Xenopus tropicalis: one gene and its partners. The main gene of each other region encodes a partner of the protein of the gene in region 3 in a complex. Links are inferred from orthologs where the notes say so. Each region holds a gene or a part of one and is shown on either strand. Other genes may lie near its edges.

The links.
Region 1: cmc1 (region 3) and timm21 share a complex: the UniProt entries of both Homo sapiens proteins name them as parts of the MITRAC (mitochondrial translation regulation assembly intermediate of cytochrome c oxidase complex) complex. The link is inferred for Xenopus tropicalis from reciprocal best matches to the Homo sapiens genes CMC1 and TIMM21.
Region 2: cmc1 (region 3) and smim20 share a complex: the UniProt entries of both Homo sapiens proteins name them as parts of the MITRAC (mitochondrial translation regulation assembly intermediate of cytochrome c oxidase complex) complex. The link is inferred for Xenopus tropicalis from reciprocal best matches to the Homo sapiens genes CMC1 and SMIM20.

What each region holds. Positions count from the first base shown.
Region 1 is NC_030682.2:100,287,658-100,298,424, forward strand, and holds the start of timm21 (mitochondrial import inner membrane translocase subunit Tim21), read right to left. Parts: upstream 7,125-10,767; 5' UTR 7,106-7,124; coding exon 6,844-7,105; intron 2,994-6,843; coding exon 2,931-2,993; intron 1,819-2,930; coding exon 1,721-1,818; intron 831-1,720; coding exon 757-830; intron 1-756. UniProt on the Homo sapiens protein: Participates in the translocation of transit peptide-containing proteins across the mitochondrial inner membrane.
Region 2 is NC_030677.2:31,910,005-31,920,723, reverse strand, and holds smim20 (small integral membrane protein 20), read right to left. Parts: upstream 6,181-10,719; 5' UTR 6,097-6,180; coding exon 5,988-6,096; intron 3,000-5,987; coding exon 2,943-2,999; intron 609-2,942; coding exon 571-608; 3' UTR 422-570; downstream 1-421.
Region 3 is NC_030682.2:48,479,602-48,489,371, forward strand, and holds the end of cmc1 (COX assembly mitochondrial protein homolog), read left to right. Parts: intron 1-3,836; coding exon 3,837-3,927; intron 3,928-5,677; coding exon 5,678-5,798; 3' UTR 5,799-5,870; downstream 5,871-9,770. UniProt on the Homo sapiens protein: Component of the MITRAC (mitochondrial translation regulation assembly intermediate of cytochrome c oxidase complex) complex, that regulates cytochrome c oxidase assembly.

The DNA of each region.
Region 1 (10,767 bases), about 52 Mb from region 3:
AACAATGCAGATGAATGTCAGACAGATTGTAAGTGCAATAAAAAATACTGCACCTGTGTAAAATAAATTTGGAAATTGCACAGTGTGTCCATATGCATTTTACAGGGGTGGCATTTCTACTGCACTTAACAAAAAAAAACAAAAACAAAAATCTCCTGTTGTGTGCATACAACATATGGTGGATCAGGTCATAATTTCATTTTAATTCATTGTATTTAGGTTGCGAGTGTTTGAGTGCTTTGAATTCTTTTTATCAAAAAATAAACTTTGTGAGGGTGTTTCTCATTCATTCCACTATGCCTACGGACCACTTTTATGAATGGTTAGCCCTCCAAGTTTGGCACCACTCCTGCACCCCTACAAAATGTATGCACTCCATAGCTTGGGTCTCACAATTCCCTTACGATAGTCCGCTCAGAGTAGCCCCAAAGAATCTTAATCTAAAATTTACAATGGTGGTATCTAAAGTACTTTATGTCAAACCACATCTGTTGCATGTGAAGGGAAAAAGTACATATAATAAGAGAATTAACTGTACTCCAGTACAAATTCCCATTGATAATTTACCATTCAGGTTTTCTTCACTAATATCTGTGTGCTTTTATGACCATGAAGGAAAACCCATTATATCAGGTGTGGTAAAGTTTGTAATTCACAATAATTCTTAATAATGTATACAGCTTTCTATGTAATAAACATTACAACAATATGGCAGTAAACTTTTATTTAATTTTTTTTGACAAACCTAAAACTTACCTGACATGCTGTCTTCTACCACGTCTTGTAGTCTCTCCGTAACCTTTGATGGGCTCACCAAAAGCACCAATAACCTTTTAAAAGTTAAAGAAAAAAAGTTAAGTAAAAGCAAGTTAAAGCAAAGAAGGTGGACATCACATTGGTTAATCAAATATTTTTTGCAAGCAGCTAGCCTGTATAGACTATAGTAAACTTTGCAACTGTTTTGTGTGCTTGGTCCATCAAGCCAATGCAGTCTCTGCCTGGCACGATTTTTAAACCTGCCTGACTGATATCTGGCTGATTTTTAAGGCCAGTTGGAGGGCCCCATACATGGACAGATAAGCTGATGCCTCTGATTGAAGGGGCCAAACTAGCATCTTAAATCTGCCCACGTATAGCCACCTTTACCAGTACTACAAAGGACATATTTATTGTGTATAGGAATGACTGAGAATTTTATAGAGAATTGGCTTTTCAACCTTATGATAAATATGACCAAGACATCTGCTCATTCGCTTGTAAATGAAAGTCACACCTCATTTGGATATTTCAGCTGGAGCAATTAAAATCAGTTTTGAGAGGGTTGTCTCTAAGCATGGTGTCTATAACCCGTGTCATTTTTTTATTGGCATCCCATATAAGTGTATAGCCTATGCTACATGAGTAATTTGCATCAGTCAATACAGATCTTAAAAAAAAAAAAAAAAAAAAAGACATTTTGCATAAATATTTTCTGTACTCCTTCTGTAGGTGATTTCCCAGAACAGGACATGGCAGATAGCCAAATAAAAAAAGTTCACAGAGAACTGTTTCAATGCATGCCTTTCCTTTTCTGCTCCATTTGCATATCTGATACCATTGGCTGCCAAGATTCAGCCAATCCAATCAATGAAATGCAAGTGAAGCAGGAGAGGGAAGGCATGCACAGTAACCAGTTTAGTGTCAACTTCCTGTTTGAGCAGAATGCAAGTTGGTACTCTACCTCTGGATGAGATCTGCACTTTTCAAGAGCCTCTCCATATATTTTACTTGGACTTGAAGAAGAAAAAAGTTCTTCAAAGACAACATAGAAAAGTCCTCCTAGATATAAAAAAAAAAAAAAAACCATGAACACATTTTTTTCTTTTGCTCTGTCTAAAATTTCCTAAAGAAGTAGTTCTCCTTTAATCGTTTTCTAATAGTACAGCGGAAACCATTGTCTTCTTTTAATGTTATTGTTTTATTTTTCACCATTTTTTAAAATTAAGGCTAAAATGAATTAGTTACAATTATCTGCCTCTCATATAAGCTCTGTATGCTAGGTCAAATTTGATATACTGTATATACTCGAGTATAAGCCTAGTTTTTCAGCACCCAAAATGTGCTGAAAAAGTCACCCTCGGCTTATACTTGAGTCGGGTGCCATGGGTCCCTCTAGACTAGCACCCTCTCTCCTTTGTGTGCAAATTAGGCCCCCCGCAACCAGACCCTCCAGGGCCCTGGCCTAGGCTCCCACTAGCAATACTTATTTCCCCTTACATCTCCTCCGGGACTGGGTCTGCTGCCAGTTTGCCAATGTGCAATGAGCGTGGGGTAGAACTCATATTGTTTTTGTTGACCCTCTTCTCCACTTACACAGCTAGTTTACTGTTTTTCTTTGAAATAAATATTGAAAAACATATACCCCACTGATGCCTCAATTAATGTCATTTTATTGGTATTTATTTTGATTATTAAAACTTAGCAGTAGCTGCTGCATTTTCCACCCTATAGGCTTATACTCGAGTCAATAAGTTTTTCCAGTTTTCTTAGGTAAAATTAGGTACTTCGGCTTATATTCGGATCGGCTTATACTCAAGTATATACGGTATTAGTTGAATAAATAGTTGATCTGAAAAGTGGTTAATTTAAGGGTGAACTACCCCCTATGTTTTGGAAGCATGCTTAGTAGGGGCTGCGATATGTATTAATTAATGTATAATTTATATTTGTATAGAAAGTCATTGATCTGACTTACTGAGAAACTGGAGTGGTGGGGAAAAATACAATTAGTTTTTAAAACTTTAATGTCAGAAAAACTGGTAAAAAAACAAAAAAAATGTAGGCCAATTATCTGTTATATAAGTATTATACAACAAATAAATATAAGTATTGCAAATAAATAGGAACAGACATATGCTACTACTAGGCCACGCAAAAAGCAGCAAATTAACCTGTAACGCCGATTCCAATCAGTACCACAATAAAATATGTGAAGTCTCTGCCAGCTTCTTTTACTGAAATTAAAAAAGACAAAGTTGTCATTAAGTGATGTCATGTAAACTGAATTAAACCAAATGAAAATAAATTATAAAACCCTACAATCAATTGGACAACACATCTACTATCTAATTTTTTTTTTTTAAATCTAATTCACAAATAAAATACACTCTGAACAATAAAAATAGGGATGCACCAAACCCAATATGGTTTATAGAAAAATAAAATAAGAACTATTCTCTTTGTTTCTCTCTCACCCTAGTATTTGTTTTCCAGGTGCAATCACCAGTCATTGGAAGTGCTAGTAGTGCCAATTTATCCGTTTAAAACAAACACATAAAATACACATACTGAACAGAAAGGTAGCAGTTTAGACACATGTTTCAGTCTGAATTTAAAAACCTTAGTGCTGTCCAACTGCCACCCCGCAGACCCCCTTGTGTGACCCCCATCTATCTGGCTGTTGTCACTGCTTACCTTTATGTAAGCTTTAAATGGTATCAATATTGAGATTAACTGCCTCCTGCACTGTTCACACCTCAGACTAAGACATGTAAACTCTTGCATTGTTCACCTATTCACACCTCCTCCTCCATCTATAAACTGTTCATCTTGAAGTGGTCATGATGAGTTACTTACATTGATATGGTAGGTTTTACTGTATCCTTCCCTACTCTGCCTGCCCTATGCTGCCTTTATGAGGCATACTCTGCCTGACATATGCTGCCTGTGTGTGCCATACTCTGCCTTACCTATGCTGCCTGTGTGTGCCATACTCTGCTTCCCTATGCTGCCTGTGTGTGCCATACTCTGCCTGCCCTATGCTGCCTGTGTGTGCCATACTCTGCTTCCCTATGCTGCCTGTGTGTGCCATACTCTGCCTGCCCTATGCTGCCTGTGTGTGCCATACTCTGCCTGCCCTATGCTGCCTGTGTGTGCCATACTCTGCTTCCCTATGCTGCCTGTGTGTGCCATACTCTGCCTGCCCTATGCTGCCTGTGTGCGCGATACTCTGCTTCCCTATGCTGCCTGTGTGTGCCATACTCTGCCTGCCCTATGCTGCCTGTGTGTGCCATACTCTGCCTGCCCTATGCTGCCTGTGTGTGCCATACTCTGCCTGCCCTATGCTGCCTGTGTGTGCCATACTCTGCCTGCCTATGCTGTCTGTGTGTGCCATACTCTGCCTGCCCTACCCTGCCTGTGGGAGGTGAACTTGGCGGGGGCCTGTTCTGGGAGCTTGTCAGCATTAGGAAAAAGTTGTTAAAGGGTCCCTGAAGGGTTTAATTATGTGCTGGGTGACTGTTCTATCCACTTCTTTCACATATGACTTATGGGTGATATCTCTGCAGTGAACACCAACCGTTTGGTTTTTTTTTGTGTGCTATCACCATTAATGTGGGTATGGTGTTAAAAGCTCTTGTGATAACATGGGTGTAGTTTGAAGTGGGTGTGGTTTAAAAAGCGGAGTGGTCAAAACTGGCTGTTATGATTGGCCCTCTAGCACATAGGCCAGAATAATACCATCCCTTGCTACCACAGAAGTTGGACAGCACTGCCTTAGCTTATTAGGCATAAAGAATTTTTGACAGTATATATCCAATATGGTGTGAGGTGGCAAAAGAAAAAAAAAAGCGTGAAACATTTACATTTTGATTGCTGTTCTGATGGGTGGTACATATGGCAGCAAATATAACTAGCGCAGGGCGGTGCTCTCAAATGCCTTAATTTTTTCCCTCTATTGGGGACATAAACCAAGAATGCATCTGTAAGGCTAGCCTTACATTATAAGATCTGTTTGTATGGCAAGATCACCAAACAAGCGGATCTTTTGCCAATAGGCCCACCTAAGGTGGGCAATACTGGGCTAATCTGATCATTTGGCCCTAGAGCCAAACAATCAGATCACAATGACGGGGATACAGCCCACTGGGATGAGGGCTGTTTTAACGAGCCAGTGCTGCTCCTCGACCCAACAGAAAAATCAAAGGTGCCCAAACATCTGAAAGATTTTTGGACAGATGTTGGTCAGGTAGGCCTGTACACTGGCAGATAAGCTAAATTGGTCTGAAGGGCCCAAATCCGCAGCTTAATCTGCCTGTGTGTGGCCACCTTAAGAAAATAAAACTTCAAATACTGTACATATAGAGTTTTTATTAAACCTATTAAATCTGATCAAAAGTTTGATTTCAAGTGCTCCATTTCTTTGCAATCAACTGCAGATTTCAGCAATCAGAGCAAGACTTGATTCAAGGTTTCTGACAGAAAAAACAATTCACTAAAAAAAACCTGAAAGCAACTCTATTAATCATTCTTTTTATGACATGAAAAACTGAGCTCTCTAAGGGAATTGTTTTGTGTTGTAGGTGTTGAAAAAAATCAAAACTGTATGGCAAAATGTAAGTTTCCTTCCAACAACTAATTTTGAACAGCAGATTTTCTGGATGTGATTCAAAACAATGCCCATAGGTAGCCCAGCATCTACGGAAATAAAGTAATTCAATGCTCTCTCTCTACTTGGAATGTGTTCAACCTGAGAACTTGGCTCTTGAATCATCCATATCTTTACTGGAAATAATAAAAGTTACCAAAAGTTTTTGCAAATTCACAAAACAGCATATACATCAATAAGCCCTCTATACCAGAGCTTCTTAGAACTGGCCCTATTTGGGGAGGGTCAAAAGTTCTGATAGGGGTCCATGATCATTTCCACATACCGTCCGTCAAACCAGTCTGAAAGTCATTAGGTGTAAAACATTTGGGATGTCTATTCACGTGCTGCCCTGAATACTGCCGGATTAGGATAGGTGAGCAGGAAAACTAGATTTTTCTAAAGGAAAAAACAACAGGTATTTGGCTAAGTCTGTTTCCATGCCAACTTATGAGCTGTATACTAGTTAAGACTGATGAATATGTATATATTGGCAAATTTAATATCGCTGGACTATGATCATAGCCACAAGCCTGTTTGATGACCATGTTGACAACTACCATGACCTAATGTTCCACGAAATGTCACACTTTATCCCTATACACATTTACATAAGAGTCTATATATCACATATAAAGGGGTTGTTCACCTTGAAATTAACGTTCTGTACTTTGTAGAGAGTGTGATTCTGAATTCCGAATTCATTTTTTAAGATTTGTGGTGTTTTAATTATTTAGCTTGATATGCAGCAACTTTCCAATTTGGAATTTTAGCAGCTATAAGGTTGCTAGGCTCCAAATTACCCTAGGAACCAGGCAGTCGTCTGAATGAGAAACTGGATAATGAATGGGAGTGGGTCTGAGTATAAAGATAAGCATGAAAAAGTAACAATAACAATGAAATTGTAGCTTCAAAAAGTAAAAGTTTTTTGGCTGCTGGGGTCAGCGACCCCCTTTTGAAAGTGTTAAGAGTCAGAAGAGCAAAACAAATAATTAAAAAATGATCAAAAATTAAAACAAATTGAAAAGGTGCTAAGAACTAGCCATGCTAAGAGTGGGGTGGGGTGACCCACCCTTTAACTAGTGGAGCTACAAAAGAATACATACATTGATAACCCTCGTCACCTCTTGTATCGGTTATTGATTGCTTTATATGTTACTCTGTATGTCCAATGTATGTAACCCACTTATTGTACAGCACTGCGGAATATGTTGGCACTTTATAAATAAATGTTAATAAATAAATAACACTGTATATAAATTAAATTTAAAGTCTCAAAGCCCTTCCTACATTATATATGAAAGGCCAGACTCATTTGCACGTACTGTAAGACAGAAGAGCTGCCAAATCTACTCATTCCCAAATCACAAACTGCAATGGAAGCATGACATGGAGACTATGGGATTAGCATTACCCACAGGATTCATAATGTCAAATACCTTTATGAGAAGCAGTTTGTGGAGACGCCCCGTCACCTCTGCTTTGCACAGACACTCGCTTGTCCTTCACTTGTAGCAAAGCACTGCCCGTGCTTATGGGCCGCTCAGCACAGAACCGGCTTGTTGGCACAGCAAGGGCCCGCTGCTGGGAAAGTAGCAGACATGAGAGGTTTCTGTAACAGGGTACAGTCAGGGATCGAGGTGACCCCAGTGCCCTAGAACTACACAGGACCGCTCTCCGCAAACACCGAGGCAACATCATTGTACCCCTCTTGCCAACACATACATCACAGTCCGTGCATTATCAGTGCTTTGTGTAAACTGACTAAAGTGGCCCCTCACTCAGAGCCCACGGTTTATAATTTGGCACGCAGCTAGCCCTTACTCTGGGCACATGGAATTGACAGGCCTTGCCGCTTCCTCAGCTACGCCCCCTACACATATATTTCTCCAATCAATGAAAAAGAAACCGCGGTTGCTTGTGGGACTTTGAGTTCTGAGTGGAGGACTTCCCCATGTTTTCTTACGACTGTTGAAAGCATAAGGACTACAAGTCCCTGAAAGCATTTCGCCTGGAACAGACAGGCTCACACCTGTTGACCTGTAGCAGGGGCTTAAACGACAAAGGAGAGATAGTATTGCTGTTTAGCCATTGTCACGAAAGGCAAATTGCAACTGCCTTTCCTAAAGTCTGCAAACGTATATCTGTATTCATGTATAAGGCGTAAAGCTGTATAATACAATTATAAACTTGCTTATGTGATTCAGCTATCTATCACGTATCTGGTAACCCGCTGCAAAGATTCTGTTTGGTACCATTTTATTCCCGTGAGAGAAGCAAAGTAAACTAGAGAGCTTTCGTCTAATCCCGCCCCCTTTTTGTCACGTGACCAACACTCCACCCAGTTCTTGGTTTCCAAGAGTAACCAAAAGCCGGACCCGAAGACAGAGCGGTGAGTGGGGCAGTGTGAGGGAGAGAAGTTGTTTGACACATTATTTGTGTTTTTTTTCTCTATGAAGAAAGTTATAGTGCTTTTATTGGGCCTTGGAGACCTAATAATTCAAGGCACAATTTGTACACAGAACTGGGAAGGAACGTGTAGGAGTTCAAGGATTGCTAGCAGTAAAATAGTGGGGCAAGAAACAAATGAGTGCTGCGGTGCTGTGGTAACTGGTGGTAATTAATATATATTACATGTATACTATTATTTTTTATTTAAATTCTGTGGTATTATTCTTCCTCCAACATCCAAAACATATTTTTATGAAAAATTCACATTTTAATAATTCTGTTCTAAATAAAACTTGCTTGATGGATGGTTTGGCTTGCATTGGAAGTAGCCTAGTTGTTTGTCAGTACAGCAGTCAGCTGAGCCAGGTGTGTATTATATGGGTTCTACCATAGACACCTTCAGCTCATGCTGCAACATCAAGATGTCTATAAAGTCTTAAAACTTAGTTTAAAGCCACCCACAGGCTGGGCCAAATCTGTCTGCTATATGGTCCCTGGGCAAATGATTGTGCCGTAGGGCAGGCCTATGGAGTCCTGTTGGGGGAGGACCACAATGTGTTAAGCACTCATCTGGCTGAAATTTTGACCTGCCCAATAGATATTAGAAGTATTTTTGACCAGAAATTGGTCAGACAGGCTGTCTGAACAGATCCATGCATGGGCCAATAGGGAGGAAGTGTGTTAATTAAAAAGTGCTTTTATCAGCCTTAAAGGAACAGTAACACCAAAAAATTAAAGAGTTTTAAAGTAAATAAAATATAATATACTAGTGCCCTGCACTGGTAAAAGTTGTGTGTTTGCTACAGTAACTATACTATAGTTTATATATAATAAGCTGCTGTGTATATATATATATATATATATATATATATATATATAATAAGCTGCTGGGGGCAGCCATTCAAGCTGGAAAAAAGGAGAAAAGGCACAAGTTAAGGTGCCCATACACTGTAAGATCCGCGATGTCGCCAAGCGAGCGGATCTTCACCCGATATCCCCACCTACTGGGCGATATCGGGTAGCAAGGGACTTAAAAAAAAAATAATCCGATCGTTTGGCCCTGGGGCCAAACGATCAGATTACATTTGAGCTTATGGTGCAGTCGGTTCGGGGACCTGGCCGATCGAGATCTGGCCAATTTCAGGGCAGATATTGGTCGGCCAGGCAGCTCTGTTCTGCCCATACACGGGCCGATTAGCTGCCGAATCGGTCCAAGGGACTGATATCGGCAGCTATAGTCGGCCCGTGTATGGGGACCTTTACATAGCAGATAACAGATAAGCTCTGTATAATACGATAGTGTTTTATCTGTTATCTGCTAAGTGCCTTTTCTCCTTTGAATGGCTGCCCCCGTGGCTACACAGCTGCATTCTTTATATAAACCATAGTAGTGTTTCTGAGGCAAACACCCCAGTTGTACCAGTGCAGAGCAGCAGTACATTATATTGGAATTTCTTTTATACACTTGAATTTTTTGTTGTTACTGTTCCTTAAAGGAACAGTTCAGTGTAAAAATAAAAGTGGTTGAATTGATCAGTTGTGTAAAATAAAACATGTTTTCAGTTTTAGTTAGCCAAAAATTGAATCTATAAAGGGTGAACACACGTCCTTTGTTTCTGCCTAAGCTTGAAGCTTGTGGCCTCCCTTCTAGTCGCTGACTGAATAAAAGGTTAGCGATTCAATCGAGGAAGTTTTGTTCTGGCTATCTCATTCACTCCAGCCTTTACACATTATATTTAATGAACTATATTAAATACATTTTTCATTTTGCACAGCCTATATACAGTGGTGTGAAAAACTATTTGCCCCCTTCCTGATTTCTTATTCTTTTGCATGTTTGTCACACTTAAATGTTTCTGATCATCAAAAACCGTTAACTATTAGTCAAAGATAACATAATTGAACACAAAATGCAGTTTTTAAATGAAGGTTTACGTTTTTAAGGGAGAAAAAAAAACTCCAAATCTACATGGCCCTGTGTGAAAAAGTGATTGCCCCCCTTGTTAAAAAAAATAACTTAACTGTGGTTTATCACACCTGAGTTCAATTTCTGTAGTCACCCCCAGGCCTGATTACTGCCACACCTGTTTCAATCAAGAAATCACTTAAATAGGAGCTACCTGACACAGAGAAGTAGACCAAAAGCACCTCAAAAGCTAGACATCATGCCAAGATCCAAAGAAATTCAGGAACAAATGAGAACAAAAGTAATTGAGATCTATCAGTCTGGTAAAGGTTATAAAGCCATTTCTAAAGCTTTGGGACTCCAGCGAACCACAGTGAGAGCCATTATCCACAAATGGCAAAAACATGGAACAGTGGTGAACCTTCCCAGGAGTGGCCGGCCGACCAAAATTACCCCAAGAGCGCAGAGACAACTCATCCGAGAGGCCACAAAAGACCCCAGGACAACAACTAAAGAACTGCAGGCCTCACTTGCCTCAATTAAGGTCAGTGTTCACGACTCCACCATAAGAAAGAGACTGGGCAAAAACGGCCTGCATGGCAGATTTCCAAGGCGCAAACCACTTTTAAGCAAAAATAACATTAAGGCTCGTCTCAATTTTGCTAAAAAACATCTCAATGATTGCCAAGACTTTTGGGAAAATACCTTGTGGACCGACGAGACAAAAGTTGAACTTTTTGGAAGGTGCGTGTCCCGTTACATCTGGCGTAAAAGTAACACAGTATTTCAGAAAAAGAACATCATACCAACAGTAAAATATGGTGGTGGTAGTGTGATGGTCTGGGGTTGTTTTGCTGCTTCAGGACCTGGAAGGCTTGCTGTGATAGATGGAACCATGAATTCTACTGTCTACCAAAAAATCCTGAAGGAGAATGTCCGGCCATCTGTTCGTCAACTCAAGCTGAAGCGATCTTGGGTGCTGCAGCAGGACAATGACCCAAAACAC
Region 2 (10,719 bases), on a different chromosome or scaffold from region 3:
TCGATTAACAGTTGCTTTGTATGTTATTCTTTATGTCCGATGTATAAACCCAGTGATTGCACACTGCTGTGGAATATGTTGGCGCTTTATAAATACATGTTATTAATAACAAAAATAATAAAAAAGGCACTAAGTCTGCCCAGGAGCAGTAACCCATAGGTTACTGCTCCTTAAAGCCTTTTATCACATATGGAGGTTAGAGTATAGTTTTAGAAATTTGCGACACAGGAAGCTTGAGCTCAATAGAAAGAAGTTGTCCTCTAATGTACTGGAGAAACGTATTCAAGCAAAGATCATGTAAATCAATGAAATACAGTGTTCTGTCACAGTTCCCAGTGCAGGACAGCTGCACTTCAGCCTGGGGGATGCCTTCTCCACAAACATTACAACACTGGACAAAACTGAAAACTATGGAGAGACATCAGAAACATTTTTGTGTTATTTGTCCACTTGATCAGAAACAAAAATGAAAATATTTGCTTTATTTATACTTTGTACAAAAGACTAGGCTCGCGTATTCTTCACAATTTACACATCTTCCAGAGTAACGGCACAAAGCCACATTCCATTTTATTTTCTGGAGAAAGGATCAGACCACACTTTCAAGCCTGTAAAAAAAAAAAAAAATAGTAAAATGAATGCACACTGGATACGGGAAATTAGACAAACAGTCTGAAACAGCTTTAACTCTTTTAGTGCTGGCCTTGCCACTTTCAAATGGCATTGTGTGTTCCTTCCATAGAAGATATAGGAAACAGCAATAACCCCCAAATTAATGTTACAAGCTCCATATAAGGCATGTAGGGTTAATCTTGTCCAATGCTGCTGTGATCTCTGGCAACGTCGCAGAATCCATATTAAAAGGAATGTCTAATAATGTTTACAGTCTGTGGTTCATTTGAGATTTGCAGTCTATAAACTTACTGCCAAACAAAGTACAAACAACATAATACAAAAGAAGATGAATACTTCAAATCCATTACAGGCAACATCTATGCCACTTATAAGTAGCGTCCATGATCCATTTTGATCTGTATCTGACTTACTGTATACACAGAGCATTCTTATTTACATAAATCCAGCGCTGTGTGTACAACTAGCACTATATAAAAATATACTTACATACATACATTTATTTATATGGACTAGGGCCACAACAAAGCCATCAATCCTGTACATATAGTGCTTAAAAGAGTAGTTCACCTTTCATTCAACTTTTAGTATAATGTAGATTGTGCTATTCTGAGACAATTTGCTATTAGTCTTCATTTTTTATTATTTGTGGAGTTTGAATTATCTAGCTTCTTGTTCAGCAGCTCTGCAGGTTGGAATTTCAGCAGCTATCTGGTTACTAGTGTTCAATTTAACCTAGCAACCAGGCAGTGGTTTGAAAGAGACACACAAATATGAATAGAGGAGAGCCTAAAGAGAAAGATAAGTAATAAAAAGTAACCATAACAATACAATTGTAGCCTCACAGAACAATAGTTTTTGGCTGCTGGGTTCCGTGACCCCCACTTGAAAGAGGGTGTCAGAAGAAGGCAAATAATTTAAAAAATAAAAAATGAAGACCAATTAAAAAGTTGCTATAAATAGTCAATTCTATAACATACTAAGGGGTTGATTCACTAAAGGTCGATAAGCGTTATCACATGGTATTTTGCATTAAAAATGACACGATAAATAACAACCCATTCGTCAAAGTAATTTTGCATGCCTTAAATCACGCGCTACTGCGATGCGTTAATTCGCGCGTAGAAATAATACTAACGCATGATTCACAAACACATATGAAGCAATAAACACGCTAAATATCGCATTAGTCTGTGCGAAGATTAACACCTACTTGGGGCAGGCGGTACTTAAAAGAAAATTGTGGTTGGTGAGCTTTTTGCAAAGTAGTTTTATGAACGTAATGGTTACATGCGTTAAATTGTGCGCTAATATAGCAAACGGCAAAATATATTGCGGGAGTTAACGCACGGAAAATAGCGCAAGAAAAACGCTCATCGTGACTTAAATAACACAAACAACATCACGTCTAAATGACCCATCAGTGTTATGTAACAATGTCTGAAGCTGTGTCTCCTTCCCTGCATATTTGTATGTACGGCTGTAGCTATGTCCCTTTTATACCTCTCCCAAGGAAACACTGGGGCCCAACATAGGTGTCTTGGAAAACTTCCAGGACCAGGACAACTAAAAAGAATGATAATTTTTGGAAATGAACACTCTAAACCGTAATATAAACGGAATAGTAATTTACTGTTAGTGACAATAGAAGTGAGGTATATAATTCTAATTTATAATCATAATTATCATTTCAGAGGACTAAACAAACAAGCACTATTCTGACCAAAGCTGATGTTTATATGGGTTATGCACCTGTGCATTTTACAAATTTGCTGAAAACTGCAATACTGAATACTGCAGGGTGTACTACTTGTAATTATTTTTCATTCCTATATTCATGCAACCCTGCAAATAAGGGGAAGGAAAATCACTGATTTAACACACTGGATTTAGTACAGGTATGGGATCCATTATCTGAAAGTCCGTTTTAAGCAAATCTCTTTGTAATTTTTACAAATTATTTCCTTTTTTTCTGTAATAAAAAAACAGTACCTTGTACTTAATTCCAACTGCGTGTTAATTAATCCTTATTGGAGGCAAAACAATCCTATTGGGTTTATTTAATGTATAAATAATTTTTTTAGCAGACTTAAGGTGTGGAGATCCAAATTACGGAAAGATCCCTTACCTGGAAAACCCCAGGTCCCGAGCATTCTGGATAACAGGTCTTATACCTGTATTAGTCTTATTAAGCTCATTGCAGATACATAAACACACAGGAATGAATCCTGGGATGGTTTTCACCCAACAAACAGACAACAAGCAACTTTTATTTTGTTTTGTAACTTATATATATAAGAGTTACTTACCAGTGGGCTGTACGTTTTCCTGGATGACATCAGTTCGGTTTACAGCTTGCTCTTTCTCTAATACAAACAGACAAATAATTAATATATTGTACAGCTAAACAAGCTACATTCAGCTAAAATGTTTCATGTTTTCCTATGGGGTAGGCTATATGGACCAGGGCTGTGGAGTCGGTAGATAAATCCTCCGACTCTGACTCCTCAGTTTCTGATACTTCCGACTCCGACTCCACGACTCCGACTCCTCTGTTTTTAATATGCTAATGTATTTTATACATTCATACAGTCAATGAAAAGCATGCTTCATGGTCACTCAACGTGTTCGTTTATGCACTGCGTGCATTGGGCTTTATTCTTATAGCAGAGAAGCAATTAATTATGACTGTTTGTGAATTGGGACATTTAAACTTGCTTTATTTTTTTTTTTTTATTCCCATTTAAATTTAGTAGGAGTCGGAGTCGGTTCATTTTTTGCCGACTCCGACTTCGACTCCAGGTACCCAAAATTGCCTCCGACTCCACAGCCCTGATATGGACTACACTATGTAGTGCACACTGCTTTCACTGGAAATAACTGTTACATGCAAACAAGTGCACAGATAATTTCCCTGCACAAGGGACTTCTGCTTAACTGCGCACAGGTATCTATTATCTACCTCACAAGAACCAAACATGAAGTAGTTTATATTTCCCTGTTAAGCTCAAGAAATAACATAAACTATACTGATTTTGTGATTAAAACAAAAGGCTTAAAGTGAGTTCAGCAAAATCCCAAATTACGAACCCCTGTTGGAGCACTACCCCTTTATGAAGTCTATGTCTACACAAAGATTTTTTCTTTTTTCTAGGGGGGAATTTGAAGAATCCTCAGAGCTTGTTAAACAGCATCTGGCATTTTCGCAGCAATGCCATAGTTCTGGGTTTTTAACAGAAAGCTTTCTATGCTGTCAGAGTTACCTACCAGCACCACCTAGTGGCAGACTGCAAAATATGATATTAATACAGGTATGGGACCTGTTATCCAGAATGTTTGGGACCTGGGGTTTTCCGGATAAGGGATCTTTCCGTAATTTGGATCTCCATAACTTAAGTCTGCTAAAAATAATTTAAATATTGAATAAACCAAATAGGAGTGCTTTGCCTCCAATAAGGAGTAATTATATCTTAGTTGGGATCAAGTACAGGTACTGTTTTATTATTACAGAGAAAAGGGAATCATTTAACCATTAAATAAACCCAATAGGGCTGTTCTGCCCCAATAAGGGGTAATTATATCTTAGTTGGGATCAAGTACAGGTACTGTTTTATTATTACAGAGAAAAGGGAATCATTTAACCATTAAATAAACCCAATAGGGCTGTTCTGCCCCCAATAAGGAGTAATTATATCTTAGTTGGGATCAAGTACAAGGTACTGTTTTATTATTACAGAGAAAAGGGAATCATTTAACCATTAAATAAACCCAATAGGGCTGTTCTGCCCCCAATAAGGGGTAATTATATCTTAGTTGGGATCAAGTACAGGTACTGTTTTATTATTACAGAGAAAAGGGAATCATTTAACCATTAAATAAACCCAATAGGGCTGTTCTGCCTCCAATAAGGAGTAATTATATCTTGGGATCAAGTACAAGGTACTGTTTTGTTTATAATAGAGTCTATGGGAGATGGGCTTTCCGTAATTCAGAACTTTCTGGATAAGGGGTTTCCAGATAAGGGATCCCATACCTGTACTACATAATTCTGTTATAGGTTATGTTAATATATGATAAATCTACATAGAGTAAAGTGAATATGTGAATAGACAGTGAAAAAATAGCATCCCTTTCTGCAAATCATTTTTACAAATACACTTTAATGAATATTGCGCATTGTTTTCAGACACAAATACAAACTGTATTTAGTGATGCTAGTGTCCCTTCAAAATTTCATTGTGAAAAAAGATGGAGCAATATCCCTTTATCATCACCAGATTTATTTTGCAACCTATTTCATAATAACAGTTAATGCCATAACCTGTGCGCAAAGAACTGATTTACACTTCGTTGAAGACAGAGTGGGGTAAAATAACTCTTGTAGCCCATAGCAACCAATCAGCAGGCAGCATCTACTGGTCAGCTAATGTTTTTGATTGGTTGCTATGGGTTACTAAATGTTGTACGTTTAATCACAAGTATTTTTCTGTCCCACTTAGGGCTCTGGCACACGGGGGAGATAAGTCGCCCGCGATAAAACTCCCTGTTCGCGGGCGACTAATCTCCCCGAGTTGCCTACCCCTGCCATCCCACCGGCGAACATGTAAGTCGCCGGCGGGATGGCAGACGCGGCGGGGCAGTTTCAGGGAATCGCCGAAAAAGACTCGCAAGTCTTTTTCGGCGACTTGCGCGAAATCGCGCCGCCGCGTCTGCCATCCCGCCGGCGACTTACATGTTCGCCGGTGGGATGGCAGGGGTAGGCAACTCGGGGAGATTAGTCGCCCGCGAACAGGGAGTTAATCGCGGGCGACTAATCTCCCCCGTGTGCCAGAGCCCTTAGGGCGAAGACACATGGAGCTACTTAGTAGCAGCTACTTGTCACAGCTACTAAACACCCTGCCATAGACAATACTGAGAATTGCCTCTGCTAAAACACATGTAGAGACAGTTATCAGTAAATGATCAGCATTGTCTGTTTTAGTAGCCGTGACAAGTAGCTGCTACTAGTAGCTCCATGTGTCTTCACTCTTATGGTTCTGACTCTTGAAATAATGTTGCAGAAGGCAGCATCACAAGTTTTATTACAGGGCTGTTAATCAGCTGTCATCCGCAACATGTACAAATCACATGTACAACACATACAAGTGTTGGGGTTTAAATTCCCTTTAACAATTATTGGCAACTAGTATTTAAACTGAGAACAAGTAATTAATTAAAATAACATAAATCCATATAATACCGATGCTCGTATTTATATTCCCTTTAAAATAAAAAACTATCATGGTGTCCATGTGAAGTACTGGCATGTCAGTAGCAATGATGCTCTCCTTGTGTACCAGTTACAGGTTACTTACTGTATTCATCTATGTGCATGAGCGGGTGAAAGAATATAGGGTAGAAAGCTGCTGCCACTGCAGTGACAAAACCACCGAAAATGAGAACTATCCTGGTGTTTTTGGACATGATCACAAAGCAGCCTTGTCAGACATGGGAGAAAAGGGCAAACCAGGAAGCAACAAGGACACGGGCAGCAATCATTTCTGTGGATGTGTTATGCGATATGATTTGTCAATATAGCAAGTACTAACGAAAGCTGTGTTCTGGTTGGCTAATAACTAGAGCTCTGCTTGAACTCTTCCCCAACCTGAGGAAACAGAGTTCTATTACCTTGGTTCCGCTAAAAATAGAACATACATCAGCTGTGGTAGGAAAGGACTTACTGCATGTACTGCATAAGGTTTGCCTAAGTAAATGACTCTTTTGTCTTTACAAATTTTGGTATGTAAAATAAATAAGTAGCAAAAAAATGCTACATAAGCAAAGTTTGTCCTTCCATGCAGTGCACCAAGCATGCCCCTGTCACGTCTGCTAATATACAGATTTGAGCATATACTTTCCAACATTTAAAAAATATAAAGAGGGGTAAAAAGAACTGGCCCAACCCCTACATACTACACCTATTTTACATCCTACAGACATGCCAGTATAATTACAAAAGGAAATGTAAATTAACCCAAAAGGTGCCAGTATAATCCCTTAAATGGATAAAGATTATTTTAACCCTAGACATGTCAGTATAAACAAAACATTTAAATTAATAAAAGTTAAATAATAATTAAATAAGTTAATTATATTAACTGAAATATGTCAGTATAACCACAAACAATTGATAAGGAGCATATAAACCACAAATGTTTCAGTATAATTACAAGATAAAATGGATAAAGGACAGGGCTGTATTTAAGTTTAAGGCCACCCTGGGCACTTTTGAAACAAGAGTTTTGAATGGACGTCCAAATTTTTTAAAGGGCTGTTCAGTTCTCTCCAGTTGAAAACACTGAGAAAACTGGACAGAAATCCAGCCAATTGCATCAAATGATGCAGTAACCCCACTTCGGCATCACTGACATCATTGTGATCACTGCTCGACCCCCAATGCCGTCTGCCCCGTCCCCTCTGGCAAAGTTGGCAACCCTAATGGGGAGGTTTTTTAGTTTTTTATTTATTTTTTTCAATTATATAAGCACCCCAGGACCACCCCCCTAAAGCTACCACCCTAGGCACACAGGCGTATTAACCCCAGACATGTCAATATAATCAGGGCATAATAACCCAAGACCTGCCAGTATAATCACTACAGAAAATGAATAATCAGTATATCAACCTAAAGGTGGCCACACACATGGCGATTTGTCATCGGTCGCACGAAAGATCGTTCAATCAGCCACTAACCGTTCAGGGCTGAAACGGCAGATAAGGAGGTAGAAACAATAGGATTTCTACCTCCTTCTGCCAATTCAGCCCTGACGGCAGATTTTGCTCAGGTGCCTTCTATGGCGCCCGATCTAAATCTTTTAACCTGGCCGATCGGCAAGTCGACCGATATCAGCAGCCTCCTCCTCGCCGAAATGAGGTTTCATATGATATTATCGGTGCGTGTATGGCCAGCTTAAGACCACTGTAGAGATCGCCAATGAGAACTCTGTTAACCCCAGACAAGCCAGTAACACCACTGTAGAAATGGCCAATAAGCACTACATTAGCCACAGACACGCCAGTAAGACTGCTCTAGAAATGGACAATGACAATTACATTATTTCAGACAAGACAGTAAGATCACTGCAAAAATAGTCAATAAGGATTTCATTTATTCTAGACATGCTAGTAAGATAAATGCAGAAATCGATAGACTGAAAACATGACCTCCCCAACACTTGTACCAGCATAATACCAGCACCAAAGTTCTGAACATGAAACACTGTCATATTACACGCATTCTTGGTAACCAAGCAAATCCCAGGGCATTTTCCATAGCTATACTTCTGTACAGAACAATGCAAAAACTAAAAATCAGGACAGGTATTTTTAAATCTTAAATCAAGTATTTACATCTGTTGCCCCAGTTCTTAATACAAAAACCTGCCATTAGTTTAGTAAGTGCATTTTTAGATTTTTGAGTTTCTTTGACTTTTATTCAATCGACTTTTTCATATTCTGATTTAATAAATAAGCAAAGAACTCTAGCATTCACAAACTGGATAATTGATAAATAAGGCCATATTAGTAAGGTCAGTTCTATCAGGATCAAAGAAAAAGAGGTAAGATAATATATCATATAAAGTAAAACAAAAACGAAAAACAAAAGTAAATTTCTCTGCATATGATAATAAATGCTCCAATTCCCAAAATACAATCCGTACCAATCTAAACAGTGAGGTCCGGGTGTAAAAACCCCGGACGTATCGCAAATGCTGTTCAAGGAACACAATGGTCAAGCATAGTCAGTACAAGTCAAAATAGCTCACCGGTATCCCTGGCTGGTCCGGGTGCTCAGGGCCCCGAACCCGTAGCTGAAGGGGAAAAAAAGCCGATTTCAAACGTAGTGGACACCAAGCGCTCCGGACTCCGGGGTCTCTCATAAAATCAAATCTTTATTTATTATTCTGGTAGATCTTATGATATGCAGTCGTATGCTAATTGCAACACACGATACGTGGTTTATCTTTTGACTTGCTCTAAATGTGGAATGCAGTACGTTGGTTGCACAACTCGGTCTTTAAAATGTCGTATGAGGGAACATATAAGACACATAGTAGCAACAGATGGCAATAGTCCATTATCTAGGCACTTTGTCCAGTGTAGCAATTCGGATGTAACATTTTTACAGATCCAGGCTATAGAGAAAATAACTCCTGATGAAAGACGAACTGATATGTATGCAAAGCTCTTAAGGTCTGAAGTTAAATGGATTTTTATTTTGGATACACATCACCCGAGAGGGTTGAATTCAGTTTTTGATGTTAGTTGCTATGTTTAGTTTTCTGTATACTACCGGTAATTCATTTTGCTAGTCTGATTACATCATTGTTTTTTGTTCTTTATTTTCGTATTATATTTCTTACAAATTTTATTGACTTATCTAGCTTTTATTAGCTGATCATAGTATTTATAACTCTAACCAGAATCAGTGTTTTGATCTTTTGTAACTTGTTATAGGGTAGTTACATCGTGACTTTTTTAAGATATTTATTTGCACATGCATGAGAGTGAACTAGTTCACTAAATATATGCTGACTTCTTGTAAATCATTGCAAAGTGTTTATGTAATAGTCTCTCTGGGATATTTGCATGTTAGTACACCTGTGAGAGTGAATTTGTTTATTTTTATTATTATATATATATCTGTATAGTGGGGTTCTCTTAGTATTGTGTGTCATTTCTTGAGTTTCATTAAAGTTGTTTAAAGTTTTTTTTTTTCATTAGGATGTGTTTGAGCGGATTTGCATTTCTCCGCCCCCTTTCAGGTGAATTAGCTTGCTAATTATGTCATTCACTCTGTATATGCTATTTAAACACTTCCTTGTTGTACAGTTGTTTTAAGCCTATGAATAAGTGTGCTTGGCATACGAAACGCGTTAGGCGTTCCTTCTTTTAATGCAACAATAAAGATTTGATTTTATGAGAGACCCCGGAGTCCGGAGCGCTTGGTGTCCACTACGTTTGAAATCAGTTCTATCAGGAGCCAATAATCTGCCTGTACATAATGAAGAATTTACAAAAGCGCCATTCAGACAAATTTGGCAGTAAATAAGTATAAAAAAATGTCCCTGGGAAAAAAGTAAAATCTAGGTTTGATTTGCAACATTTTTTCTAAGCATTTTAAAATGAAACTGTGCAAAAGTGCATCTTTAGACGCAAGAACTTTTATTAAATGATATATATTTGCGCAACAACTGTGGCTAGCTTTGTGTGACTGTAACTACGCTTAGCAGACACAACTACATTCTTTAGTCACACAATCATTTTGAAGTCACTAACCCTAAACTAAACCAAAAGTTAAAATTCAAGGCTAGGTCGACACAAAGTAGGAAACCAAATACTGAAAAAACTGCACAAATCAAAAGTAATTACAATTTTGCTTTTGCCTAAGGGCAGGGGTACATGGGGACAAATCTCCGTTGTCGCGGGCGACTAATCTCCCCACAATGCCATCCCACCGGCTAGAATGTAAATCACCAGTGGGATGGCATACGCGGCTCCACGATTTTCCGAAGTTGCCTTGAGAGGAAACTTCGGCGTATGCCATCCGCGGGGCCAGACATCAACCAGGATTTGTCGCGCGGCAACTAATCTCCCTGTGTGTCACTGCCCTAAATGTGGCCATACACATTGTGAACCGCTTTGTATGCCCATATCTCATTGGACCAAAGTCCACATCAATGAGGCGATGCAGTCCCTGATCCGAAGGGAAAATCAATTGTCCAATCGATATCTGCCCAATCTTATGCCACATATCATTCAGGTAGGCCTGTCAGGCATGCCCAAACTTTGTCAGATAAGGTGCCTAAAGGTGGCCATACACGCACCGATATTATCGTACGAAACCTCGTTTCGTACGATAATCGGTGCGTGTATGGCATGTCAGCGAGCCGACCGATATCGCAGGAAGCTGCTGAAATCGGTCGGCTCGCCGATCGGCCAAGTTAGAAAATTTTGATCGGGCGCCATAGAAGGCGCCTGACCAAAATTCTCCCTTCAGAGCTGAATCGGCAGAAGGAGGTAGAAATCCTATTGTTTCTACCTCCT
Region 3 (9,770 bases):
TGTTTCTTTAAGAGATCCCTTAAGTTGTGCAGTCTTGCAGTGGCAGTGTATTGCTGCTATCTCCGAAACATCCTGTTTTATTTATTTATTTTGGCCACCAAATTAATGACTTTGTTCCAGCTCCCAATATTTAGATTAATCTCATTCTTGTATATACCCGTGCGCAAATTAGAATAATTCTTTAATCAGCTGTGCTATGCATACTCTAACCGGATAGCGTTTGCAGAACGCACCCTCCTCATGTAGGCAGGCATGTTATTATTTATGAAAGTGATTTAAAAGTAAAATCAGAAATATTGATTTCTACTTGACTGGACAGTTGATTTACTTTGAATATCAGCCTCATCCTAATCAGGTAAGAATTAATTAAGTCAGATATTTTAGATATTCAGTCATGTCAACTGAACCGCGATCAATCTAGGCCTGGTTGGCATCTGTAATACGTCGCAAATACCAAGTAGCTTGTGCGCTTCAGTATGGAGTAATGCAGTGCAATATGTGATATACTCTGACTGCTGATCCTCTTACCTTCGTGGCTCATTAATTGCACCTACTAAAGCTTCTCTGAGCACTTGCACAGACTATGTTTGGGAGTTACAACCTAATCAGCCTTGATCTGACACCAAATTAAAGATATGCTAGCTTTGTCATGAAATTGCTTTTGGAATCTGCTTTTTGCATCCTTTACAGGTTTTGCAGCTAGGTTACAAGCATTTAACTGTCTGTATGCTGAAAAATGGCCTATGGGTTCAGTACAGAGTTGCAGTCTCCGCTGATGATAATGCTGGTGAATGTGTAGATGGTATTTGAACAAGCTGAGCAATAGGCCGGCATGGGAACTTGTCCTTAGAAAGTGAGAGGCCTCTGCTGTGCGCCTACAGCTGTTCAGCCGACTCTACCTCGGATGCTCTTTGTTTAATGCCTGCAAATCATATCACTGCTCAGCATGCAGAATAATAAATAAATAAGAGTAGCCCTCCCTATTCATAGCAAACACTTCCATTTATCTGAAGAGTGTGATCACAATATCTGAAGTGTTGCGATAATATACATGTGAGATGACACCTCAGTAGGGTCAGCTATTAAGAAGAAGAATTGTAAAGAAGTTTTTAGCTGCAACCAGGGCACAGCAGAGAGTTCCACTGCGCGCTCTATATGTTGTGTTTGTTTTTAACAAATCGGTGTGATGTCTCGGTGGCAATGCAGTCACTAGAACTCATATGTCTTCTGCAGTGCATAGAAATGTATCGATAGTCATTCTGGTGCCAAATATTTTATCTATATATGTAAAAGGATTCCGATTGAATGGTTTATTTCTGTAAATATGGAGCCTGTGTCAAAAGTGTTTGAACGTGGTTATTTTATAGAGGGTTCATGGTAGATTACATAGGATCCTCTGGCCATAACAGCATAGTTGGATAGTTTTGACTGGTTTAAAAAGATGGATTTTCATGACTCTCAAAAACGGCTTAATCCAGCCTGCTAGGTTTTGTCATGTATAGTAACAGAAAGCACTTAAAAAGTCCACTATTGAAATGGTGAAAATAAAAAGGAACCAAAAATGTTAGATCCTTTTTGATTGGAGCTCTATTTCACAGTTCTGGTGAGCATAAAGGAAACTCTGGCTTGGTAGTAGACATAAGAGAAAATAGAAAAACTGCAATAGTGCAAATATCATTATTAGCTGAACTTTACTACCTAAGTCAGTGTACTTAGATAAGCCAAAAGACAGTGTGGCATATAGAATGAGTATGGGCAGCTCTACATGTTTGGTGAGGGCCAACCAATGTCCTGTGGTACTTTGGCCAGTCTTACCAAGAGTCATGTTATTCATTAAGAATGATAGCATTTAAAGGAAAAAGAAAGGTAAAGTCACTTGGGGGTGCCAAAATGTTAGGCACCCCCAAGTGACTTTAACCGCCTACCTTTTACCCCGGGCTGGTGCCGCTGTCAGGAGAAAACAGCACCAGCCCGGGGTAGCTGCCGGCGCTTCCTCCTTCCGGCTTCGCTGCGCGCGCATGCGCAGTAGAGTGAAAAGCCGAACTTAAACATTTAAGTCGGCTTTTTCGCTCTACTGTGCATGCCCGGCCACCGGCAGTTTAGGAAGTGGAAAGCGGAAGGAGGAAGCGCTGCGCTCCAGGTGCCCCGGGCTGGTGCTATTTTCTCCTAACAGGGGCACCAGCCCGGGGTACAAGGTAAGCAGTTAAAGTCACTTGGGGGTGCTTAACATTTTGGCACCCCCAAGTGACTTTGCCTTTCCTTCCCCTTTAAATAAGTTTTACCCGCAACCTGCTTTCCAGCATTCATACTTGACAGGGATCACCTGACTGTGACTGGGAGAGTTTAAACATGAAGCTGGTTACTGCTATTGTGTTAATTATAGTAAAAGGTGGGAGTGTAAAGATGGTGTGACAAAATTTGTGACACAATCCTTCCAGCTTCTTTTTTACCACTGGTTCTTTGGGGCCTGGTGATACTTCACTGCCCTGCTCTGTAATGCCTTCATGGTGTTACTACACAGTACAACTAAGAGACTGCAAAAACCGTAATCTAGAAATTTTAGCAACCCAGTGGCAATGGATCTGATTTACTAACATGGCTAAATTGCACCTGAACAATTGTAAATAGCAACCAATCAACAATTCATTTGGATCCATATTATACAAGTTAAGGTGGCCATACACGGTGCAATCTGCTTGCTTGCCGAAGTCACTAAATTAGCAGATTGCTTCCTGATATGCCCACCTAAGGTGGGTGATATTGAGCTAATGTAATCGTTTGGCCCTAGGGTCAATACACAGCAATCTGTAATATATCGATATATATCGGCTATATGAAATACAACATATACTATTTCTTTTCATGTGAGTGTGGTTGGTATGTGTCTGTGTATGTGCCCTTGTCCAGAGAAACCACAGAAACAATGTGGCATGAGAAATGGCAGCTTGAGCCGCTTTTTTCACCCAGAATAGTTTTTCTTCTGCTTTTCTTCTAAGGTGTGAGGCAGCAGCTACTAATAGCTTTAACCACCAGAACAGAAATTTGCTTTTTGTACACCCTCCTTACAGTATTTTTCCTTATAGTTTTAAGGGGAAGTTTACATTCACACTTATTAGGTTAGTAAAAGAGTGCTTTGTGGCCTGTATGATTTATGTTGCGTGACATTTTGCAAGTGCAATGTGACCTGGCAGATTTGCCCATTGCACTTCCATTTTAATTTACTATTAATTTGTTTAGCCTTAGAGTGTTCCCCCCCCTTTGTATAGGTGGCATTACTGTTGGAAAACCAAGAAAATGATAATGGCCCTATATAACATCAAAAAGTTTATACTGGCTGCGCTAGTACACAATAAAGGTAGAGAAGAAAAATAAATACATGTGTTAATACATATACAGGTATGGCATCCATTATCTAAAAACCCGCTACCCAGAAAGCTCTGAATTTCAAAAAGGCCATCTCCCATAGACTCCATTTTAATCATATAATTCACATGTTTTACATAATTAACTTTTTCATCCAGGTATAGCTCCATATAAAATATTAATTTACTGTGACACAAATGTGATTCATTCTTTCCTCTTGTGGATCAGTTGAATGCTACAGTACATGGAATTTATATGGGTAAAAGACTGAACTTGACATGTGTCTGTGCCTTTTTGTACCTGAGCTACAATGCTTTTGCAGCAGTACATAAAGCACAGACTTGCAATGCAGTGACAGGGAAAAAATGTAAGCCAGATGCCATAATGCAGTTATTTACTGCAGGTTGTTGTGTCTGAACTGCAGTATTGAACAATAAATTCAGTACCATGCTGGTTTGTGTATTTTTTTCCAGCTTTTACAAAATGTTGCAAGGAGAGTGGCCTCCTGATGGTGGTGAAATGCCGAAATGAAAACGCAGCGCTGAAGGAGTGCCTGACTCTTCAGTAAGTTGACTTTTCTGTTTTGATATTTATATATAATAGCCTTAAAAACTGTGCAAACATTGTATAAAGTATAATAATAAAATAAAAAATTTTGGTTTCCTTTAGTGCAAATATCATACATGATTTAAACATGATTATTAACTAGGGACAGTCTTGTAATTCAGATTGCCTCTCATGTGCTAGCCCAAATAAAAATCCTTAACCCTGTAACAGGAAAACCCTCTTTCTTTATGGTTAGTAGATAATAGGCCATATATACTAAACAGAAATATCTGTAAGATTCCTTCAGTTATTTCCAATAGGGGTAGTTAATGAAGAATTTGCATACATTAAAAGCAGCCCTGTCAGAAAGGAAACAGACTTAAATGACACCTATCAGGCTAACAGAGGCTGCACTATTCTGCATGCTTGTGTCCCAGAATGGCCGCCCACACCAGGAGCTCCCTCACAGAGCGGGCGGCATAGTGCCGGGGGTGGAGAATAGTCTCCCCCAGTTCAAATGCAAGCTCTATTATCCCACATCTCTGGTGGGGGGAAACAATTTTCCTCAATACGTACCCTGTACAGTGTTGCAGAAATAGTATTGGTATTGATATGGAAGTGGTAACTGAGGAGAATATTTAAGGCTACATGCTCTGCAGTGGGGGGAAATTGCCATCAAACAGAGGGGATCCCAGAAGACTAAAATTGCCTGGAAGCTATTCTCAGTAATAGCCTAAATTTATAATGACTTTCAGCCAATCACAGGAGCAAGTCACACTTTCCTGTCAAATAGTATTCTGGCCTTTCTCTTTGTTATTTAAGATTTTGCATATACACACCAGACAAATATAAAGGGAATATGATGAGATTGTGTAGTGGCCCCTGACATAGAGGCAAGCTGAAGTAAAGAGAGAGAGGCCACTGTTTAGGCACATAAAGCAACTATATATATACATATATACATACATACAACCCTACATATATTCTTTTCCAACTGATAATGCCAATATCACAGTGAAACTTAGGCAAAAAAGGCATAGCTACTAGCACTTAACACAGTGATGTACACACTCCTGGCTGATACTTATACACAGCACCTGGATCACTACTCCGCGTTCTTCACTTGCAACTATCTCTGGTTCCATGAGCAGGGAATTGGCAGCAGAAAGGAGGCAATTCAGTTACAGAACAGGAGAGTAAAGAACTGGAACTTGTAGGAGAGGGAATTCTTCTGTATTATATTTTACATGTGTATATATACATCTTTTATTTGGAAACTGATTATCCAGAAAGCTCCTAATTACCAGCTCCTGTCTATTAAAGCAAATGATTCTTCTCTGTAATAGTAAAACAGAACCTTGTACAGCACAAACTCAGCAAAAAAAATCCTATTGGGTTTAGTTTATGTTTAAAAGATTTTTTTTTAGCAAATATGTGGAGGCATTTTTTCTTTTTTTAAATCTTAACTTTCCAAGATGTATTATGCAACAAAACTGGGACAATTCCGAAACCGAAAACGCTTTATCTAAAACCTGTCGAGATCATGTCACAGTCAATGGCAGAAAGATCCCTTATGCAGAAAACCAGGTCCCAGGCATTTCAGATACAGGTATGGGACCTTTCTGGAGCCGGAACTTTCTGGATAACAGGTTTCTGGATAATGCATCCCAAACCTGTAAAAGATCCCAAACTTGTAATTCAAAATGGATTCCCTATAGATGTACTGCTGCTTCCTTATTGCCATTGTGTTGTATTCTTATTCCCAAAGCTACAAAGATCCGGCTTTATATGAAGAATGCAAGCAGGAATATTTAAAAGAAAGGGAAGAGTTTCAAAAAACAGGAATCTCGTCAAAGAAAAGGCAAGAGAAAGTGCCAAATAGTATATAATCAAACTGTCTTCTCCTGAGTGTTTCCCCATTTCTAGTTTCTTATAATAAATGTTTCTTTTGTAAAAAAAAAGTTCTGTTTATCTGCTGCTTTTATTCTCGGCTTCTATATCCGCATTGAATTATTTTTGTTTCAAATAGGCAGGAACTCATTTAGGCAAATACCATGATGATATCTATATAGAAGTGTTTGCTGTAAGAGTTCTACGTGCCGCAGTATGGGGCAGGGCCGAGACACATACGGCCGAGCACCTTATTGGAATGTGTGGAAACTTCAGTACTTTTCCTGCCCCTTCATTTGATTTCAGTTTGCTAAAGTATTGTGGCTATATATTTTAGCCGTGCTCCCATAGTTGTGTCTGTGGACATGGGAGGGTACAAAGAGAAGACTGCAGCTTTAAGTTGCACACCAGAGTAGAAGACTGCTTTGTGTAAGTGCAGATATACAGTAAGGGACATACAGTATTAAGGCATAGGAATGGTAGCTTATCTGAAAGTGTGTGCAAAGATGGAGTTGATATCTATATATGACAACTGTTTCACAGAGCACTATGGGAAATGTAGTGTTTGGGGAAATGGATGGAGTAGGTTTACCCCTTCCCCTATTACACCGATTTATAGCGAGTGTGTAACACAGTAAGTAGGCTTGATAAAGGGTGGTTGTCTAGCCTTTGGCAGAAATAAAATTCACCTTTTTCACCATTTCAGAGTGCTGTACCGTATTTTACTTTGTGAATCATCGATTGCCCCTGGCAGTGGGGACGAGCCTGAACTCACAATACCTATGTATCACTGCTTAAAGGTGTTGTTCACCTTTAAATTAACTTTTAGTATGACATACACAGATATTCTGACAATTTGCAGTAGGTTTTTCTTTTAGCTATTTAGCTTTTTGTACCACAGCTCTTTGTTTGGAATTTCAGCAGCTATGTGATTGCTAAGGCCTTGTTTACCTTAGTACTCGGGAAGTGGTTTGAATTAAAGACTGGAACACGAATAGCAAAAAAAAAAGTAACAATAACAATAAAATTGTAGCCTCACAGAACAAATGTTTTTTTGGCTGCTGGGGTCAGTTTCCTCCCATTTGAAAGCTGGACAGATGCAGAAGAAATAGGCTAATAATTAAAAATTTATAAAAATTAAATAATGAAGATAAAGGACATTCTATAACATACTAAAAGTTAAATTTAAAGTGAACCACCCTTGTAATAATTAATTCAACATTGTAAAAAGAAATATTTCATGACCTGCATGACTAAATGATCCCCCAGATCTGGAAATAGAGTATCCATATGTGAACCAATCTGCTTAATTTCACGTTATATTGTTTTACACATGTGAAGGTAACCGGTTTGTGTCACATGTCCATGCTGTAGCATTATACTCATGTAGTATCAGCTCTGGTAAAGTTTAATTTAAAGCTTGCAAAACATACAGCATGAGGCGTTATGGAGCAAAGGTTGATATTAGTTTAGCAAACAAGACCCTGAGACTAATCCAGTTGCTAGTGCCGGGGTTAGAAATGAGCTGTCCCCAAGCTAGAAATATATTATATATTGTTTAAATAGTTCATTGACATGGAAAGGCTTTTCCTTAGCCTTACTGTTTCATGTTTACTAAATCTGTCAAGGTGCCTTATGGACAGACATTTTTACATTAATACACGACCATTAGACAGATTGGTGGCTTAGTGGGAAGCACTTCTATGCCTTGCAGCGCTGGGGTCCCGAGTTCAATCCCAGCCAGGATACTATCTGCAAGGAGTTGGTATGGTCTCCCCATGTCTGTGTGGGCTTCCTCTGGGTTATGTGGTTTCCTCCCACACTCTAAAAACATACAGGCAGGTTAATTGACTACTGACTGAATTGACCATGGTGTGTGAATGTTGTTAGGGACTCAGATTGTAAGCTTCTCTGGAGCATGGACTGATGTGAATGATAGAATGTTATAATATAAGGGGTAATAGCTCCATAATAAAATACAGGTATATTTCTAAACAAACAGCTGCTGCTGGATATAGAGTATGTATGATTATATTGAAGTCTATGTGACTTCTAATGCTATGACTGTATCATTAGATGTAGGATCTCATTCCACAGAATTGTGTCCAAATATAAAAGAACTGTGAATATTTTTTTTAATGTTCTCTATGTTATAGAAGGTGTGTGTAAATATTTAGTAGCAGTGACAATAATGCAATGAAGATCTGGACGTAATTTGGTTACACCGACCTGCTTGATATCTTACAAAAGAATTACAATAATTTTTTCAATAAACATTTTATTGTAGAGGTTTACAGTGTTAATGCAAATAAACGTATTTACAAACCAGCATATATTATATTCTGTATCTTCTATCATAGTCACGGACATCATTACACAGATAGCTAATAAACCACATCTCCTTGTACACTTCAACAGACAAATAAAAGTGAACACTATTTATATGAGCAATCAGGCCTTTCTCATTGCTTTTGAAGAGCGTGACCAGCTGACTAATTATATAAAAAAAAAACCCAGCAAGCTACATTAGTGATCAGAGAGAATGAGTGCGGCCACCAGAGAAATCCTTGCTTCTGCTGTGTTATTACACAGGTAGTTGATTTTATCAGCTAAAGCCTAGTGAGTAGGATTTGTTTTATGCATATTGGCTTGTGTTCTATTATTGTGCTGTAGGCTGTACTCCCTTGGGACTCAGCTCTATTCATTGGTCACAATGCGTTTCAGCGTGTCATACCATTTGCATTACTTACAGACCGTAGGCTCAAACATGATCAGTGTCTACAAGAATCCAGCGGAACAGTACTATGATGTTTGTGAATACTGGTTGCCAAAAAGAATTTCTCTGGTTTTTTTAAACCTGCTTTCAAGCTTCCGGATATCCAAGCAGGAACATTGTCAAAATGTGCAACTGCTTAGCCAGCATGAGAATATTCTGGAACTAGTGCCGGCTCTATCGCTTAGAAGGTTCTATCATTAGAATGATAGTTCCACTTTAAGGTACCGTGCCCTATAAAAACGAGAGGTCAGCAGGTTGTGCAAATATACATACTATGGTAGGCGCAAACTGCCTGAATCTGATGGAAGTTGCATAGCCCCACACTTCAGGCCAACCAATGAAATAATGCTAAGCTAATATACAAATAATATAAAACCTCCAGTGTGCTAAGTGCCTTTGAATTCCAAGTATTTAATGAACAGATCTCAAGGGAAATGTAGCCTTAGGTTGGCCGATGGCTTCCTTTCTAAAAGTGGTGACTGTAGGCATTGGCTAAACATATTTTTCTGTTTTGACACAATAATACTGATCTTAGGGCATCACATGTAAATTTGTCAGAACAGCCTACAGAAGGAAGACTAGCAACAATTAGGGCATACAGTCTGGTCAGCTATAGCAACCATTTCTACAACAAACATAACAAGTAAAGAAGAATACCAAGCACATCTGGTGTTTCATTATATGTAGCACAACTGGACTGGCAATCTGAATTCTGGCAAATGGCAGAGGGGCTACTGTAAGTCACTATTTAGGGGGCTGTTTGTGCCTTGTGTACTGGAAATGCCAGTGCCTATTTTGAATCTCAGTCCTAGCCTGACACATACTATCTGCAGCTTTTGAGGCTGACACGAGCTTTAAACTGCATTACTCTTATAGATATGACAAGATCATCAAGGCAGTAAATAAAAAGAGTGCCCTACTCGGGTCTATCACAATTTTGTCAAATTATATTTTGATATGGCATATAGGGAAAAAAGTAAAACTAGGCCACTGAAAGCAACTGACTATATTTTTTGTGCTTATTCTCAATCAATATTTTCATCTGAATTCTGAATCACTATTACATTTTGTAAAGTAACATACAATTGCAATAAAAATATAAAGTTAGTATATTTTCTATAAGCTATTTGCACCAGCAATGGAATGGTTAAAAAAAAAAAGAGAAGGCATGATCTTTAGTAAAGGTACTTTTTAC